Linked DNA regions of Mus musculus. The protein of the gene in region 1 purifies or fractionates together with the protein of each later gene. This does not show direct contact. Links are inferred from orthologs where the notes say so. Each region holds a gene or a part of one and is shown on either strand. Other genes may lie near its edges.

Evidence for each region.
Region 2: the proteins of Polr2f (region 1) and Gpn3 purify together in Homo sapiens (affinity purification with mass spectrometry; 3 studies listed by BioGRID and IntAct, counting the BioPlex papers as one, with this or other methods). This does not show direct contact. The link is inferred for Mus musculus from reciprocal best matches to the Homo sapiens genes POLR2F and GPN3.

Annotation. Positions count from the first base shown.
Region 1 is NC_000081.6:79,140,011-79,144,225, reverse strand, and holds the start of Polr2f (DNA-directed RNA polymerases I, II, and III subunit RPABC2), read right to left. Parts: upstream 2,902-4,215; 5' UTR 2,812-2,901; coding exon 2,792-2,811; intron 1-2,791. Other genes in the region: 1700088E04Rik (UPF0193 protein EVG1 homolog), read left to right, coding at 3,243-3,345. UniProt on the Homo sapiens protein: DNA-dependent RNA polymerase catalyzes the transcription of DNA into RNA using the four ribonucleoside triphosphates as substrates.
Region 2 is NC_000071.6:122,375,448-122,379,095, forward strand, and holds part of Gpn3 (GPN-loop GTPase 3), read left to right. Parts: intron 1-3,019; coding exon 3,020-3,187; exon of another isoform or gene 3,188-3,264; intron 3,265-3,648. UniProt on the Homo sapiens protein: Small GTPase required for proper localization of RNA polymerase II (RNAPII). May act at an RNAP assembly step prior to nuclear import.

The sequences.
Region 1 (4,215 bases):
CCCTGGGAAACCAGCCAAGTGTGGTTAACCTCTGCGCCATCCCCCTCGTCATGAAGACAGTTTCAGCCTCTCATAAGGACATAAGGAGAGAAATATAAACGTGCCAGGGTGGTAGCACACTCCTGTACTCCTAGCATTTGGAAATGGGAAGTGAGAGAACTAGGAGTTTGAGCCCAGCCTGGGCTACATAGTGAGATTTTGTCTCAAGAACAAAAACAAGTGAAGTGTACTTCAGGGCTGGAGCTGTAACTCAAAAGTAGGGTGTGTAGACAGCATGCATGAAGCCGCTGGCACTCACAGCACCAGCACACTACCAGCATCACCTCCCCCTCTTAAAAACAAACAAACAACACACCATTATTCTTTCCCCTCCTGCTACAGCTTAATTCCATATTCCCTTATGGTGGAGAAAACAAACAAACAAACAAACAAACAAAACTACATAAGACCAAGGTGACATTGCCATTTTCATAGCCTAAGGTCACCAGGCTTCTAAAAACATGCTTATTTATTGCTAACGTGCACATGATGCGTGCTCGCGTACAGGCCCACATACACCACCAAGACTCCCTTTTCTGTTCTCTCCTTCTACCAGGGGCTCTAGGGATCAAACCTAGGTTGTTAGGCTCGGGCAGCAAAACTTTCACCTTTAGCCCCTCCTCCATCTCATCAGCCTCCCGTGGTGCACAATGTCTGAGGGAGCTGCCCAAACTCGCTGTCTCCAATTCTTCACTTCCCGAGTCAGAGCCTCACCTCAGTAAGGCTTTCGCCACACCCTCAAGCTCCACAGCCATCCTTCCTGTGCTCACTGATCATCGCACCCCACAACCTCCCCATTGAAAAGTGTCTCTTTGGGCTGGTGAGATGGCTCAGTGGGTAAGGGCACCCGACTGCTCTTCCGAAGGTCTGAAGTTCAAATCCCAGCAACCACATGGTGGCTCACAACCACCCGTAATGAGATCTGGTGCCCTCTTCTGGTGTATCTGAAGACAACTACAGTGTACTTACATATAGTAAATAAATAAATCTTTAAAAAAAAAAGGGGCTGGTGAGATGGCTCAGTGGGTAAGAGCACCCGACTGTTCTTCCAAAGGTCCAGAGTTCAAATCCCAGCAACCACATGGTGGCTCACAACCATCTGTAACGAAATCTGACGCCCTCTTCTGGTGTGTCTGAAGACAGCTACAGTGTACTTACATGTAATAAATAAATAAATCTTTAAAAAAAAAAAAAAAAAAAAAAAGAAAAGTGTCTCTTTGTGCTGCCTGGCTGTCCTGGAACTCACTCTGCAGACAAGGCTGGCCTGGAACTCACTCTGCAGACAAGGCTGGCCTGGAACTGAGAGATTCCCCCCCCCCCCCCCAAGTCTCTGCCCTGAGTGCTGGAATCAAAGGCTTGCACCACCCCCAGCTTCACTAAGGATCTTTACAATGCTGAACCCTTCCCCTGGACAGCCAGCATACCTGGCTCCTCCCTCCTGCCTCCCACTCTGGGGGAGGGGATGCTTTTCTGGGTTCTCTTCCCCCCAAGTCACTCACTCACCATCTCTTCTCTGGTGGCAATCACTGCCCTGGTCAACGCCGTCATCTCTGCTTTCATTGCATTTTTGACTGTATTTTGTATGCTTGTTTTGAAGTCAATCTTACTGCACAGTATGTAACTCAGGCTGGCCTGAGACTCACTATGTTGACATCTAGTTCAGGACAATTCCCCTGCAGTAGCCTCCCAAGTGCTAGGATTACAGGTGTGAACCACCACGCCCAGACTCTGAATTCTGACTGATCTATCAGGACTACCATAGTTCATCTTCTCTCTTGATTAACATATACAGCGTATCAAGAAATCCTTTAGGTTCTATCTTTAAAATATATCAGGATCCAGGCATGGTGGCGCACGCCTGTAATCCAGTGCTCAGGAGGTGAAAGCAGGCAGATCTCTGTAAGTTTGAGGACAGCCAAATCTACACAGTGACTTCCAGACACAGCTAGGACTATGTTGAAAGACTCTGTCTCAGGAAAAAAAAAAAAAAAAAAGAACAAAAATCACCTGGAAAGCAGAGGTAGATGAATCTCTATGTTCGAACCACCTGATATAAGGTTATATTTGGTCTCCAAATAAATAAAATAAAAATATGTCCAGCCGGGTGGTGGTGGCGCACGCCTTTAATCCCAGCACTTGGGGAGGCAGAGGTGGGTGAATTCCTGAGTTCAGCCTGATCTACAAAAGTGAGTTCCAGGACAGCCTGGGCTATACAGAGAAACCCTGTCTCGGAAAAAAAAAAAAAAAATGTCCATAATCCAGCTGGGTCTGGTGGTTCATGCCAGATATATCAACACTTGGGAAGCTGAAGCAGAGGACTGTGTCGAATTCAAAGCCAGCCTTAGCTATATAGTGAATTCCCGGGCAGCCTGGGTTTCAGAGTGAGGCCTTGCCTCAAACAACACTAAACTTCATGCTCTCTAGAGTCTATCCCCACTTCTGCCACCTCTGCTACTATCACACCTAGCCCAAGCCCGCGTCTGCTCCCAGCCTTCCAGGCCATTCTCTGGGTTGCTTTTTCCTTCCTACTTCCACGACTACACAAGCTACACACCTCTGGCATTCCCTTCCAGAAAGAGAGCGCTCAGAGGACAGGGGCCACACGGACTGAACTCTCTGACCACTGTCCCCATTGCTCCGCGAGGTAGGAAGTTCTGAAGACTTCGCCCCACCAACCCAGCAGCTGGGCTAGCCTGTGCTCCAAGAGCCCTGCTCGCACCACGACCTCCCTCCTTCCGTGGCCCGTGCTCACTTGTCCTCGTTGTCTGACATGATGCCTTCTCCGCCCGGGGCGCAGAGCAGAGAACGCGCGCCTTTGCCCCTCGCCGCACCACGCGTAGTTTGCGCTTGCGCCGTGACCCAGGCGCAGTTACTTCCGGGAAGCAGCGGCCGACCAGACGCTAATGCGCGTGCGTGGAGGCGTGTCGCTAGTTACCATGGTAACAAGGAGCGATTAGTGAGGACGCTGACACTCTAGCTCCTTGGAGTTTCTCCGTGCGGAGGGCTCTGTCACGCCCAGGTCATCGCCTAAGGTGAGCGCTCCTCCCCGGACCGTCACGATAGGGACTGTGGTCACTGCGCTGTCCGGAGCCGAGGGGTCGGGCACCAGCTTCTCAGACTCCCAGGTTGCTCGTGATGAGAGGTCCGGATTGCGAAGCGTAACTAGGGCGAGTCATTGCTTCTCTCCCTCCTAGGGCCCTCCCATGGCTTCCCAGGAAAGGGTGGACTCGGTGACCAAAGGAACCGGGTTCCGCCGCTGCCGTAAGCAAGCAGGTTACACGCCGGGGACTTGTGAGCTGCTCAGAGGTCAGTGCATTAGGGGATCAACGACCCGAGCGGTGCGGTTTTTCCTTAAGAGCTTGGGATTCTGAAAGGTTCGGGGAAGAATCAAAGACCAGAGATGGAGAATTTTGGAATGGTTAGTTCATCTTTTACATGCACTTTCAATGAAGCCTATCTCCTCACTGCAGTGGGACCTTCACAGTACCAAATTCAATTCCCTTCACCAGGCTTAGACATTATACAGTCTTAGAGGTGTTTAGTGTCACCTTCTAAATGGTGAACACCACCAGGCAAAGAAACGTGCCTGTTTCTGCTCACAACTGTAGCTCCAGCCTCTGCTACATGAATGAGCATGTATGCACTTAATTATTCAACGACAAAAACCTAATGTGTGATTTGGATATTGTCCTAGGTACTAGGAATAGAGTGTTGAGAGGATTGCAAAGGACAACTCTTGCTCTCAGAAAACTGATAACACAGGAGGGTAACAAGAAAAATGAACAGGAGAAAATTATAGAGCTGAAGGTGTTGCTCAGTGACAGAGTATATTCTAGGCAGATGTGGAGTCTGGGTTTCAGCCCCAGCACACCATACACAAAAAAGTCTGTGTGTGTTACAGTTGGAGAGCTGGCTCAGTGGTTAGGAACATGTACTGCCCTTTGAAAGCTCATTCCCCAGCACCCATGTTAGCCAGTCACCAAAAAAGTGTGTGTGTCTTAGGCATATGTAATGGGAGGATTGCCTGAGCCCAAGAAAAGCTAGCCTAGATAATATAGTAAGAACCTATCCTTGAAATAAAATAAGGACTGGAAAGATGGCTCAGAGATTAAGAGCACTGGCTATTCTCAAGGACCCAAGTTCAATCCCCCACAACCATATCAGGTGGGTCAAAGC
Region 2 (3,648 bases), on another chromosome or scaffold:
ACACTGGTACTTTTGTATTTTAGTGGAACCTTGGTAAAAGGCAATGGAGAATTTTTTGAAAAGTCTCTCCAAAGTCATTATTCTAAGCTTGATTTTGAGTCAATGTCAAGTACAGTGGTGGGAAATAATACAAAGGATTCCTGTGTACCTTCACCAAATTTTCTGCAATGGTAATATACTCCATAGTGAAGTTCAGTAGCATAGTCAGGTGTTGGCATATCCAAAAACGTTTTTTTTTTTTATTTTTTTGAGACAGGGTTTCTCTGTATAGCCCTGGCTGTCCTGGAAGTCACTTTTGTAGACCAGGCTAGCCTCGAACTCAGAAACCTGCCTGCCTCTGCCTCCCAAGTGCTGGGACTAAAGGTGTGTGCCACCACTGCCTGGCTAGATATTTTCTTTATTTACATTTAAAATGTTATCCCCTTTCCTGGTTTCCCCTCTGAAAACCCCCTATTCCCTCCCCACTCCCCCTGATCCCCAATCCACCCACTCCTGCTTCCTGGCCCTGGCATTCCCTCACACTGTGGCATCGAGCCTTCACAGGACCAAGGGCCTCTCCTCCCATTGATGACCAACTAGGCCATCTTCTGCTACATATGCAGCTGGAGCCATGAGTCCCACCATGTGTTTTCTTTGGTTGGTGGTTTAGTCCCAGGGAGCTCTGGGGGTACTGGTTAGTTCATATTGATGTTCCTCCTATGGGGTCTTATACTTCTAACCTTCCTGCCTTTGCCTTTGATTGCTGGGATCACAGATGTGCATTCTTGAGGAGTAAGGCCCTCTAGTAGGTGGAGCTGGGGAGCAAGCTGGGGAGGAAGTGGAAATCATCTTCTCTTAAGAGAAAGGTAGGGGCCTAGAAACACAGAAGTGGATGCTCACAGTCAGCTATTGGATGGATCACAGGACCCCCAATGGAGGAGCTAGAGAAAGTACCCAAGGAGCTAAAGGGATCTGCAACCCTATAGGTAGAACAACATTATGAACTACCCAGTACCCCTGAGCTCTTGACTCTAGCTGCATATGTATCAAAAGATGGCCTAGTCGGCCATCACTGGAAAGAGAGGCCCATTGGACTTGCAAACTTTATATGCCCCAGTACAGGGGAACACCAGGGCCAAAAAGTGGGAGTGGGTGGGTAGGGGAGTTGGGGGGGAGTGTAATGTGGACTTTTTGGATAGCATTGGAAATGTAAATGAGGAAAATACCTAATAAAAAAATTAATTCTAAAAAAAAAAGAGAGAGAGAGAAAGGTAGGCTGGGGCTGGAGAGATGGCTCAGAGGTTAAGAGTGCTGACTGCTCTTCCCAAGGTCCTGAGTTCAATTCCCAGCAACCACATGGTGTCTCATAACCATTCATAATGAGATCTGATGCCCTCTTCTGGGATGTCTAAAGACAAGTAGTGTACTTATGGATAATAAATAAATACTTCTTAACGAAAAGAAAAGAAAAGGAAAGGGGAAAAGGGGGAAAGGGAAAGGAGGAGGCAGGCTGTTGCTTTGGGATCATGTGGCGGAAGCACTCGGTTTCCTTAAGCAGAAAGATGTTTGAGAGACCCCCGGGGGCCTCACAGAAGGTGACTTGTTTAGATTGAATACCTTTTAGGAAGTCAGTCACAGAGTTCCCATCCTCCCACCCCAGTCGGAGTGCTCCCCTCCCCATCTCCAACTTGTAATCAGGCTTGGGAGTTAACTGGCTTCTTGGTCATCAAGTGAAGAGATAGCAGTTGGCTTCATTTCAGCTGACTTCTTGATATAGGCACTACATAGCCAAGTGGTTCACACTGTGACCAGCTCAGAGCAGGAAGTGTCCAGAATTGTGGCCCAGCAGTCAAGCCTGCTTCCTTCAGTAGCCAATGTCCCTGGTTTCTGATGTGTTCCTCCATAAGCAACTGAGTGTACACATAAAGTCTGTGCAGTGGACTTCTGTAGCTGTATAGCCCTCTTTCCCCACTCTCCCAAGAGCTGCCTGGCAAGCACACCTGATTCTTACAGGAAGTTCTATGCACTAAGTTTTTCACTTAATGCTATAAAGAGCATTCCCTCCAAGCTGGGTGTGGCACCGAATGCCTTTAATTCCAACACTCACGAGGCAGTGGCAGGCAGATCTCTGTGCTCTAAGACAGCCTGGTCTAAGACCTTGCCTCAAAAAAAAAAAAAAAAAAAAAAAAAAAAAAAGATGAAAAAACAAAAACCCCGGATTTCTGAGTTCGAGGTCAGCCTGGTCTACAGAGTGAGTTCCAGGATGGCCAGGCTACACAGAGAAACCCTGTCTGGAAAAAAAAAAACAAAAAAATACAAAAAAAAGAGCTCCCCTCCCTCTTGTGTCTGAAGTGTTCTACTGTGTGATATCTCTGCAGTAATGCTCAGTCAGCTGTCTGGGTCTCTCACTCTCCACCTTTGAGGCAGGGTCTCTGTCTAGTCAGGGTTTCTATTCCTGCACAAACATCATGACCAAGAAGCAAGTTAGGGAGGAAAGGGTTTATTCAGCTTACACTTCCATACTGATGTTTATCACCAAGGAAGTCGGGACTGGAACTCAAGCAGGTCAGGAAGCAGGAGCTGATGCAGAAGCCATGGAGGGATGTTCTTTACTGGCTTGCTTCCTCTGGCTTGCTCAGCCTGCTCTCTTATAGAACCCAAGACTACCAGCCCAGAGACGGTCCCATCCACAAGGGGCCTTTCCCCCTTGATCACTAATTGAGAAAATGCCTTCCAGTTGGATCTCATGGAGGCATTTCCTCAACTAAAGCTCCTTTCTCTGTGAACCCTGGACATAATTCCCCCCCGCCCCCAGCAGCCCTCCTGTCTCTGCCCACAGCACTGCAGTTGCAGAGGTGCGGCCAGGCCCAGCTTTTCCATGGATGCCAGAGGCTCACACTCTGGTCCTTAGGATGGTGCGTCAAGCACGCTGAGTCACTGAGTCGTTGTCCCAGCCCCATGTGTGAGGGGTGTATCTATATATACCTGTTGATTAGTTTTCCAAGTGGATACTCACTCTGGTCCCTGCCTGGCTCTGCAGACATCCGGGAGCTGATCGAGGTGGACGATGTGATGGAGGACGAGTCTCTGCGGTTCGGCCCCAACGGAGGCCTGGTCTTCTGCATGGAGTACTTTGCCAATAACTTTGACTGGCTGGAGAACTGCCTGGGCCACGTCGAGGACGATTACATCCTTTTTGACTGTCCAGGTACAGCAACAACTTGAGTGTACAATCTGCCTGGAGCTGTGACACTGTGTCCTCGTGGGGACGTAGTGAACAAGTACCTGCAGAACCCAGTTGGATCCGGTTTATCCCTTGGGTTGATCAAGTGCTTACTGAGATCAACCTTAAGAGTAAGGGGCCATAGCTTGTGGCTCAGTGGGAAGCAAGTGCGATCAGCAGTTGCCCCATGATTTGTATTTTTGGCAGGTGACCCACAGAGGGAACAGGAGGCAACTGGTCAGTTGTCCGTTAAAATAGGCTATGGGACAACATGGAGTCAGTTGTGCAGGCAAAGGGCCTCAGACAAGAAGCTATGAGCAGACTGAGGCAGGGGTGGCTATTTGACCAGAGGTGCTGTGAGGTGAAATTGGGAAGGGACAGGTGACGTGTGAGCTGTGGACCGGAGCCAGCCTTGTTCATGTGTGTGTCACGAGTGTGGATTCCCA